Linked DNA regions of Coturnix japonica. The protein of the gene in region 1 interacts with the protein of each later gene in a pairwise test. Links are inferred from orthologs where the notes say so. Each region holds a gene or a part of one and is shown on either strand. Other genes may lie near its edges.

What was found.
Region 2: the proteins of LGALS8 (region 1) and acylamino-acid-releasing enzyme-like interact in binary tests that used the Homo sapiens proteins (3 or more experiments, as listed by UniProt). The two-hybrid records come from large-scale screens. The link is inferred for Coturnix japonica from reciprocal best matches to the Homo sapiens genes LGALS8 and APEH.
Region 3: the proteins of LGALS8 (region 1) and TAX1BP1 interact in binary tests that used the Homo sapiens proteins (3 or more experiments, as listed by UniProt). The link is inferred for Coturnix japonica from reciprocal best matches to the Homo sapiens genes LGALS8 and TAX1BP1.

What each region holds. Positions count from the first base shown.
Region 1 is NC_029518.1:33,917,660-33,921,408, forward strand, and holds the start of LGALS8 (galectin-8), read right to left. Parts: upstream 2,204-3,749; 5' UTR 2,200-2,203; coding exon 1,996-2,199; intron 150-1,995; coding exon 61-149; intron 1-60.
Region 2 is NC_029527.1:1,405,437-1,409,185, forward strand, and holds the start of acylamino-acid-releasing enzyme-like, read right to left. Parts: upstream 2,199-3,749; 5' UTR 2,181-2,198; coding exon 2,082-2,180; intron 1,730-2,081; coding exon 1,600-1,729; intron 1,531-1,599; coding exon 1,404-1,530; intron 1,328-1,403; coding exon 1,228-1,327; intron 1,154-1,227; coding exon 1,078-1,153; intron 1,011-1,077; coding exon 844-1,010; intron 774-843; coding exon 636-773; intron 555-635; coding exon 463-554; intron 394-462; coding exon 353-393; intron 280-352; coding exon 158-279; intron 43-157; coding exon 1-42. UniProt on the Homo sapiens protein: This enzyme catalyzes the hydrolysis of the N-terminal peptide bond of an N-acetylated peptide to generate an N-acetylated amino acid and a peptide with a free N-terminus. It preferentially cleaves off Ac-Ala, Ac-Met and Ac-Ser.
Region 3 is NC_029517.1:30,196,814-30,200,462, reverse strand, and holds part of TAX1BP1 (tax1-binding protein 1), read right to left. Parts: intron 3,038-3,649; coding exon 2,863-3,037; intron 2,440-2,862; coding exon 2,291-2,439; intron 1-2,290.

The DNA.
Region 1 (3,749 bases):
TTCTTAATTACAGGCTTGTTCACCTTATGTTAATTCACAAAGTGATACTGTAGTTACTACCTGTCTGCATCATCAGGAACATTCCCATGTATCACAATCAGCTCTCCAGGAACAATGCCACCAAGAATCGTCCCGACATAGGGAATGACCTAGAAGAAGGAGGGAAAAAAGACAGAAATAACCATTTGTGACAGAGGCAAAATAAATATATAGTTTTTTAAACAATATTTTTGATAATTAAGTGATGCTCTAGCACATTAAAAGAAAGACAACTAGTATTCCATTTAAATGAAACACTAGTAAAGCATTAAATATCTGCCACGAAGAGAAGGAAAAACCAAGATTTTCATCACTGAAGATCAGCCTTCTCAGATAAGATTAAAGCTAAACATTTACAGTCTTCATGCCTAGCTCTCTAAAGAATAATGGCAATATTTTACTGCTCCACTTTTAATATAGAATTCCCCTTCAAATTAGGTCATTGTCAAGGACTAACTACTGCTGGTTGCAGGAGGCATCTTGCACCAGTTTTTTAACACTAGACTACAGCTGCTGTCTCTTTGCTTGCTCTTTTTTGAAAAACTGTGATTGGAAAAGCAGCAACTCTGGTGGAGAGTATCACAGAATCACAGAATTATCAGGGTTGGAAAAGACCTAGAAGATCATCCAGTCCAGCCATTACCAATACTTCCTGGCTAAATCATATCCCTCAACACAACATCCAAACGTTTCTTGAATACTCCCATGGTTGGTGACTCCACCACCTCCCTGGGCAGTGCATTCCAATGCCTGACTACCCTTTCCGAGAAGTAATACTTCCTAATGTCCAGCCTGAATCTCCCCTGGCGCAGCTTAAAACCATTCCCTCTAGTTCTATCACTGATTACACAGAATGGGAATGACAAAAAAAAAATCTCCTAAATCCAGAGCGTTGTTCATTTCCATCTTCTCCCTTTCCTTCCCTTCTCAGCTACCCACATATTGCACCTTTCTTTGCAGTCACCTTTTACATTAGAGATAATACAGACCTACTTCACAAGTATAAGCTTGAAACTGACCAAACTGTTTAAAGACTTGTGGATTTTACTGGCTTAGCCAACTGCAGTAGAGGAGGATGAGAACATAAAATTAGGCAGTATAAGTGAAATAACAAATAAACTGATTGAATCAATTTACTTACTAGCAGTAGTGTAGGAGCTTAGTTCCATAGTCTACAAGCTGTACAAAAGACACTCAATTTCATCCAAATAATAATACGTAAGAAAGAATACATTCTGCATATTTTCTGCACATCATGCAGTTTAAACACACTGCTTGCTCCTGAGGGGCAGTAGCTTTGAGAATCACAGCAGGGTATAAGTTACTGGTTCGGTCTCCAGAGATGAACCAATAAGAAACACACAGACACAGCCCAGGAACACTGGGATTTGAATACTCCAGTGGGTCAAAGTTATTTATACACTGTATACACTGTTATACACTGTATACTGTGTACACTGTTATACACTGTATACACTGTTATTTAACACTGTAGCAAGGATACATTTAATAGAGAAAAAAGTCAGCCATCTCTTGTCCAGAAGCTCAGTCATGGAATCTGCATGGCCATAATAGAGCATTTCCTGGGCGTAATACTACAGACCTAATGACCATCATTACAGAATGTGCTTGTCATTTCTTCACGTCTCAAGAGCTGTGCTAATTTTAACTCATCTATTAAGAATAATGCTTGTGCCACTACTTGATTCCATCCCAACTCTCTCACAAACCTCCAGAAGTTCCCCATGAAGCCAACTAGCCAACACTAACTCAGTTTGAAAGGCCTCAAAGACCAATTTGCAGACTTTGTCTGGAGCCTGGAACAACTTTTCACACCTCTGTCTCCAAATAATTGCTCTTATTCTCCCCCAGGCTCTTGATGCCTAAGCCCCAATAATACTCCTTTATGTTCTCCAGCTTGGTTTTGTCACCCACCATATTCACCAGACCACTTACAGTCAACCAGTTTTGCTGAACTCCTCCTCTTCTCCTTACACAGACAATGTCACCTGTACATTTACTGATCCTCTTCACATCTCCCTTTTGCAATTCAGTCCTTACAGCTCTATTTCCATCTCCACACATCCTTCCTTCTTCCCCCAGATGGATTCTTGTGAAGAAACCTAAAGCCATTTCCCCATCATCTATTAGTCTATCCATTTCACAAGCAACAAACAAGCAGTGGAACTGAACAGTCAGATGCACTTGAGGGCACTGGACTGTATCAGTGCAGAACTACAAGAGAAAAGGAAGTCCTGTACAGTTACGTAGCACTGTTTATTCCACAGAGATTCTATACAGACCTAGTGGTGTTGCTTTTTTTTTAATATTCTGTGCTAGAAGTATGACAAATAACCATCTCCTGAAGGCTCAAAAGAACTGTTTTTAAAGAACAATGAGAAGTAGAGCTCCAGCCCATTTCTCATGCCAGTGCAAGGCCACTGCTGCAGAGTACAAGTAGAGAAATACTACAGCCACCTATGAGGATTTTCCTCACACACCCAAGCAACATCAAGAGCTCTCAGTAACACTCTGAGCCATAGGAATGCCCTGCTAATTTCTGACATTAAAGAGCAAAGTTCCATTTCCTGGGGGAGGAGTTGTTGACATAAGAGTTACCGGGTTACTGATATTCTTCTGCAGTCCATCCAAGGACATCATCTTCCCTCCTCCAGTTCAAGTCAGCCAGTCCTGTGTGACAACTCTTAGAGCGTATTCAGATGTTCACTGATCTGGCTGCTCCAAAGCGTGGACCCTTTGAAAAGCCAAAAGTTTTAATCAGAAAAACAAAAGTAGAACTACATGAAGTTAAACTCTTCAAAGTATAACTTTAAATATATTTCCAAGAAATTTGATCATGTTTTGAAACATCAAAGCTAAATGCTTGGTTTAAGCATCACTGAATCACAAGGTTGGAAAGGACCTGCAAGATCACCTAGTCCAACTATCCTCCCATCACCATTGCTACAACAAGCTACTAAACCATATCTTGTAGCTCCTCATCCAGATGCCTCTTGAACACTGCCAGGGACAGCAACTCCACCACCTCCCTGGGCAGCCATTCCAGTGCCTGACCACTCTTTGAGAGAAAAAGTTTTTCCTTATGTTTAATCTAAACCTCTTCTAGCACAACTTGTGGCCATTTTCTCAGGTCCTGTTTATTGCCTGGGAGAAGAAGCCAAAACCCACTGAAGAAGTATCGTGCTATTCTAGCAAGCGATACTGCACACAAGGTACACAGCTTTTTACCAGCTGCTTCCTGACATTGTGTATACTGAAACAGAACCCTGTATAAAAATCACTACTGCATGGGGCAACACAAATAACCCTCATCTGGGCCTTAATTACTCTCCATTTGCAGCTGACCCCTACCTGCAGCCCATGAAAAGAGATATGGTACAGAAATGTTTTTCCAAAATAAATAGCCATTTTCATTTCCAGAGCTGTGTAACCTGGCAGTAAGTGCTAGGGGCTGAACTACTTTTCTTCAGCTTTATCCCACATGAAGCTAAGGGATACTGGCCAAAGACACAGTAGGAAGCAAAGGGCTTTTCTTCCCCCAACACACGCAATTCCTGAAATCCACAAATAACTACAGAACTCTGCAAAACTTGCATTAAATACAAAGAACTAGTAAAAAAAGAAAAAATAGCTTGTGAGAATATCCAGCTATACTGTCATTCCTTTAGCACACCTTCTAAGAAAGCCAC
Region 2 (3,749 bases), on another chromosome or scaffold:
AGCCTCCAGCACAGTGTGGGCCTGCTTGGTTTGCCAATTGTACTGTGGGAGACATGGGGTGGGAGGCTGTGCCAGGTGCACTGAGTCTCAGACCTCCCACTAAAGTAGGGGTACAGCACCAGCCCCCCCAGGTGGGTGGGGGATCAGAGCCGCTCACCATGCGGAGGAGGCTGCACTGCTGGTGGGGGCCCAGCACCCTGTTCTCCAGGTAGGCGATGTAGCAGCGGTCGGGGCTGAGCCGTGGGGACCACAAGGCCCCAGTGTCCTCAGAGAGCAGCTCTGCAAGGGCACGAGGGGATGGTGAGGGGCTGCATGGTGCTCAGCACTGCAGGTCTGAGGGTGAGCTGCTCACCGCATTTCCCACCGGTCAGGTCCATGAAGAAGAGCGCTGAGCTGCCGGGAGAAAGGGGCTGTGAGCATGGGGCTGGGGTCCTCAGGGCGGCAGGGACCAGGGGGACTCACCGGCGGTTGGTGCAGTGCCGCAGCCCCAGGCGGAAGGGTTCGTGCCACCAGCCCACGAACACCACACCAGTGTCATCTGGGGACCAGAAGGCCTGTGAGCAGCGGACCGTGTGGCTCAGTAATGGAGTCTCCCATTGCCCACCACCTCCCGTGTCCCCTCTCCCCATCCTGACCTGTCCAGGGGACACGTGTTTGGGGACACCCTCCAGCACTGAGATGCTGCTGCCCTCGATGTCCAGCACGCAGAGCACGGGGACGCTGCGGGTGTTCAGTGTCTCCCCCCAGTTCTCATAGTACACGAACTGCTCGCCCTGTGGCACAGCCCCATCAGTGCCAGCTCTGGGGTGGAGGGACATCACCCTGGGGGTGGTGGGGCCCCACCTTGATGGGGGCATCTGGCTTCTTGGGGCGCTCCAGCTCCTGATCAGCAGAGCCATCCAGCTCGGGTGCTTTGGTCTGGAAGAAGGACTCGGCTTTGGGACGCTTCTTCTCCGCCACATACAGCAGGTGGGTCTCTGAGTGTGACCAGGCCAGGCAGCCGAACTGGTCTGTGGGGAGAGGTCAGGCACAAGCCACCCCGTCCCCACCATCCCCCAGGACCACCCCGTCCCTCACCATCATCATAGACACCACCATGCTTGTCCAGTGCGGTCAGGTCAATGCTTTTCACCTTGCGGTTCTGATACCACACCTGGGAGCAGAGGAGCAGGAGGAGCTCAGGTTGCCAGCCCCTTCCTTTCTGTAACCCCCCAGCCCCTCACCCACCTCCAGGAACTGCTTCTCCTTCTCTTTCTCTTTCTCCTTGCCCGGAACCTTGAGCAGCACAGCCTTCAACGCGCCGCTGGGGGACTCGCAGCTCAGCAGCCTGCAGGAAGGTGTCCCTCAGCCCCATCCTGCCAGGGATATGGGGCCGTGGGGAGGTGGGGGACATGGGGACCCACACATTATTGATCTCACAGCAGGCACCGCCAGGTCCTGCATAGACGATGGAGGCCCCGTCGTGGAAGAGCAAATACTGCCGGCAGAACTTGATGCTCTTGGCCTGCACCAGGTCCCGCTGTGACCATTCTGCGGGGGATGATGGTGAGGACAAACAACACCCCTCCGCCCCCCCCCCGCCCATGGCCCGCCCCGTACCGGTGTACAGGCTGCAGTACTTGCCCCCGTACTGCGTGGTGATGTCGGGGCCCAGGCAGGCAGCGCTGATCGCCGGGTTCTGGCTCAGCTCCTGGTACAGCGCTGCGGCCTCATCGGCGCTGGGCAGCACCTAAAGGAGCACGGGCAGCTGGGGGGGGGGGAGTGCAAAGGGCAGCAAGGGGGGCTCCTATGGGGACAGCTTAGGGGGGGTCTGAGCGAGGAATAAGGGGACATGGGGGGAATTATGGAGGCGTGGGGGGGCTATGGGGGGCACCAGGGCACGGGGGGGGCTGTGAATGGGCACAAGCCCATGGGGGGGTGGGGGGTTGTATTGCACCGAGCCCATGGGAGGGGGATAGGGGTCCCAAAGCTTCAGGGTGGGGGGGAAGCTCAGGTCGGGGGGAAGGTTACGGGGGGCGGGGTCCCTGGGCAGTGACGTCACCGCCCCCCAGCCCCCAGCCCGTCCCCCCGCAGCCCCTCACCACTGCACGCTCCATCGCATGCGGCTCCATCGCACGCAGCGGGCGGACACAGCGCCGAGCTCCGGCACATCCGGGGCACTGGGCGGGGCCGCCTCCCATTACCTGCGGCCTTCCGGCCTCGGTCTCGCTATGGCGCCCCCTTGTGGACACCGCCGGAACCGCAGCGCTACCTGCGGGCGGTACCTGCGGGCGGTACCGGGGCACGGAGCGGGCCGGGCTGGGAGCGCTCCATTTGCCCATCCCCGGAGCACGAAGGGACGAGTCTGAGGCTGTGTGTGGTTTATATCAAGTCCTTTTATTTTGTTCCCACAGAAATACCTGGGTGGGGGGGGCAGCTTCTGTACGGAGTCACGACACAGCGCGGCACGGGGGGGTTTAGGGGGGATTTACTACGGGTCTCACGGAGCACAGCAGACACGCACACCGTCACAATGGTCAGAGGGAGGAGCGCCGGCATTGCACTTACCACTGTAAACTTCTCCTGGGGCTCAGCGGGGCCCCGCGTGCAGCCGCGCCCCGGCACCTATTTACAGCGCTGGGGGCGGCGGGGGACGTGGGGAGCAGCGCACCACGCAACCCCCGGTGCACGCATCGCGGCCGGTAACGGCGATGAACCGATGGAGGAGAGAGAGAGGAGGAAAGAAAAGAGAAAGAAAAAGAAAAAAGAAAGAAAAGGAAAAAAAAGAAAAAAGAAAAAAGTGGGAGGAAAAAAGAAGAGAGTCCAGGCAAAGAACGGCAAGCACTGAAACGCGGTGAGACCGTGCAGAGAAGTAGCAAGCCATGCTCTACGACAGGACAGACGGTCACGGGCGCTATGGCTGCCCTTTGGCAAAGTGGCCCCTCCGTGGGTCGAACATGCCACGAATTGGAACTTCATACGCACAGGTGGTCGAGAGAGAGGAGTTACCCGGTTTGCAATGACACCCTTGCACGCGACGTCGGATTATCAGCTATGAACAGGTCTCGTTCTGGAGTCGTGTTATTTCGTTGCATAGAACATGGGACGGGCGCCGGCGCGGCACCGGGGCGGGCGAGGGCCGGGCGCGTCTCCCGGTGCCATGGGGAGCCCCGCCGGTCCGAGCGTGCCCACGCGGAATGGCTTCAGAAGGACTTGGATTGCACAGTAAGAGGAAGGATATCGGCGGAGGCGAAGCTCTCCTGGTCTTGTTCCATGGATTGTGCTCTTTTGTGGCCTCCTGCACTCTATTGCTTCTACAGACGACAGCCCATGTGCTAACTCATCGCACAAAGCAAAGGGGGAAGAGGGTTTTGGTAGAGAGTGAAATAAATGAAAAACCAAAAAAAAAAAACCCAAAAAACCCCGAAACGACAAAATGAACCCAAAAAAACCGAGATACAAAGGAAAAAGAAACAATCCAGCCCTTCCCCTCCCCCCCTCCCGACTCCCCCTGCCCCTCCCGGTGTGGATGAGGTATACGCAGAACTCAAAGTGGGATGATTAAGGCTGTTCTTCAAAGAAAAGGGGTGCCCGGCGGCGGGGCGCGCCGGCTGCGTGGCGAGGGCGAGCGCGGCCCTTCGGATGCTTCCCATGGCTTCAGGGCAGCGCCCGGCCGGAGCCACGTCGGCAAAGGCCAGCCCGCGTCCACGCCGACCCAGCAGAGTCCTATGGCCTCGTATTTCGGTAGTGAAACAGTGTTAGGTCCTAAC
Region 3 (3,649 bases), on another chromosome or scaffold:
TGAAGAGCTGCCTTTAACAACATAACTTCACTATTATCACTGGATCGTAACTTTTACTCTTAAAACTGCCAGTGAGTTCAACAGGCTGTATGAATCATGAAGATAAATAGAGCATTAACACGCAACACTTACCCACACAATTACACACAATAAAGTTTGGTAACAAGGGAGTCTGTTTGCCACTGAAAGAGGAAGAAGGGCAAGCAGGCATTAACAGCCAAACACAAGCACAACTCACCTAGTTTTACCGACTCATTTTTGTCTCATGTAACACCTACTGCTTTAATGACTACCACCAAAAGCCCATATAACCAGAGCTGAGACTGCCCAGCAGAAGCCAGCAACCAGCCATGTGGTGCAGTACAAAACCCACAGACAGGAAGAGTTTCTGTTTCTAAGCTCCAGGGAACATTAGCACAGGGACAGGAAGCAAAGCAATGTCCATCTCAAGCTTTAAGTAATCAAAGAACGGCCACACCATTGGTTCTTCTGCTCTGTCCACCAAAGAAGGGTACACAGTTTTCTTCTCGTGACTCAGCTCTGCATGAGCACTGTTCATCAAACCCCCTACATCTCTGCAAGCAGCCTCGTCTCCCAGGAGGTATGTGGACATCTGCACAGATACCAACTACTCTTTTCAAGTCTATTAGCAGATAAAGACAGTAAATGGCAGCTATGATCAGGCTGATGAAAGTGTAGTGGGGTTTCTGGGCTAAAAGAAAGGCCATTGTGAATTCATCTCAACGAAGAGCTTGACCTGGCTGCCAAACGTAATCCCCTCACCCTACACATTTGCTGTTAGTAACAGCTTTCTTGAAGTCCTGGGACAGCTATTCTGGGCTTACTGCCAACTGTAATCAAATCTACATTTCATACTGAAGTGTGAGCTTCAGAAAAGTACTTTGTTTCCTTCACGTATCTCTCCTGTACAAACCTCCTCCAAGTGATTATCATTTGTTCAACTGCAGAGCGTAAGCAAAATGGATATATAATGGACAAATACTTATTTCCATGTCGAATTGTACACTCTACACCTACAGCCTGATTTGGGGGGTGTGGGGTGTGGCAGCAAGTAATTGATTCTCATTGGAAAGTCAAAAATAAAGATGTAAATTACTTGATTTATTGAACTTTATTTAAGCCTGCTGTATTCCATCTCGTTACAAAAATCCAAGCTGTGTCAGCAAATGAGCACAAGACTACAGCACTGTTTCAGTTGGGTTTGCAAGGGGGCAAAGCACATAGATCAGAAAGAACACCCTGCTAATTAAACTGAAGCAGATGACTAAAGAAGAGAAGAGCTTGTCATATGTAGTATCTACGTCAAGAATGATCAGATTAAATATGCAAAATGTGGAGAAAAGGTGGACAACAGTATTAAGCTCACATTCTTAAATAGGCTGCAGGAGTTCTGACAGTTTTTCTAATTATTCACAGTAATGGACACCAGGGGCAAAAGGTAGGAGGGAAAAATACATTTTTCTCCATTATAGGTGCTGAGCACCAGGGCTAAAATCATGCCTGTCTGAACACTGATCAGCTTCTGCAAAGGTTAATAGCAATTAAATGTGGCAAACTAGACTAAACGAGAAACAGGTCATGATACCGCTGTACTTGCAAAGAGCAAAATACTTTGCAGAAGAGTATTTCTTGTTGAATATTTTTGAAGGTGCAAGAATACTTAGAATTGGAAAGAGTAATAAGTCTGCTCCTGTTCAAATGAAGCCATTTGGTCCAGCTTATTACAGAAGCCAATTTACTAGAACTATGTTTTACAGAGGTATGGCGTGAAAGTTGAATGTTTGAGAAAGCAAAGAAAACCAGTTTCCACTTCAAACATACGAAGCCATAAAAAAAGAAATCGGTGACAATCTGTCACCTTCTGTTTAATCAGCGTTAGTCATCAATCAGCTCTTCCAAATATATGCTTAACAGCGAAAAAAAAATCGAAATGGAATAAATGCAGGCTAATAAAAGACAGAACTAGAGGTTTATATGTAGGGATTAAATACCTGATACTACAGACACTTTATTTCGGTATTTAACGGAAGCTACTGCTATCAGAATACTTCAGGTTTTTATTTGCTCTGATCCAACTTACTTCCTGCCTACAAACAAGGAAGCAAATAAAACCAAATCAATCCCATATTTACAAAACAATAGGATCGGGCATATCTGATACTGAAAACCAACGGGCAACTCCAATGTTCAGTAGTAATCACAGCAAGGAAAGTTGAACATAATAGGTAATAGAGATGGAAAATTAAAGATGATATAGAAGATAACTCACATTGCTGTCCTCAGGATCTTCTAAACCATCGGGCCGACTGAGATTGCGTGAAGGCTGACTACACACCACGTCATCTTCTAGCTCCCAAAAGGAAGTTCTAGCAGGTGGCCTTTGGATCTCATCAGGATTAAAGGCACCATCTGCTCCATCTGAAGAAAAATTAATTAATTGATCCTTGTTCAGTTTGTTTTACAGATGTGCCAATTTACACCCTAAATCAAGGATTTCAAATATTTTTGGCTTTAGATAAGGTATGAAAAGACAGAAATCTACTTTTTCAAAAGACGTCTGTAAAATTTTTCTTAACTTATAGATTCTCTTCAACAAAACAAAGGCATTTAATGATTCTCATTAACAAAGACAACAAATAAGAGCACCGTACATCAGCACTGAGACTGTTCTTAAGCTGCATTTAAGCGTCTCTGAATGAATGCAGCATTGCTTTTGAAACAGTGAGAGAGAAATACGTGGAAATTATATATATATACACATATATATGTGTGTGTGTATGTATGTATGTGCATATATATATATATATATATATACACACACACACACACACACTCATTTACCTCTTCTTTCCTGAATTGCATAAGGGTTTCCATACTGCAGTACTGGTAGTCTACTTGGCACTGCAGGAACTGGGCCGTTCTCCTCTGAGTATGGGTTGCGAAAATGTAACGTCGGCTGTGAAATCTGTCCTTCCATCATCCTCCCTGCTTGATTTCCTGCTGCCTTGCCAAGTTCCTAAACAACACAAAGTTTAAAACATAATCACTCCACGGACGTTTAGGCAAAAGTTGAGGGTTTTTTAATGAACTATTTAAATTTAAAACAACAACAACAAAAAAGTCACATCTTCAGACCCTCATTTCACTTTGACCCAATGTCAAATGTAGCACTTGAGCAAAGAAAACACAGAGGTATTTTAAAGAACGTTTCTCATCTGTTAATATGAATTGTATACACAGAACTGCCACGTACTTCAAGAAGAATCTGCATCCTTCTCAGAACAAAGAAAGGACTATAAAATAGTAAAGGGTGAGTTGAAGTAACAGTGACAACCATGTGCAATTAGGAAAGTTAAGAATGGATCATTTTAATAAGTGAAGGAGATATGGATTTACTGGACATAATTCCCTACAAACCCTTAAATGGCAGGTATTAAGGACTACTAAATACATTGCACTGGATCCTCTCCGATTCATAACAGCAGAATGCATAAATACTATGAGATTTCAGACATGGAAGGCTTAGACTCCAGCATCAACTACTTAAAGCCTTTTTCAAACAGGAAGGAGAGTAAAAGGAGAAAAATGCTGTCTACAATAGTAAGGAAGCTTCCAGGAGGTTACCTTT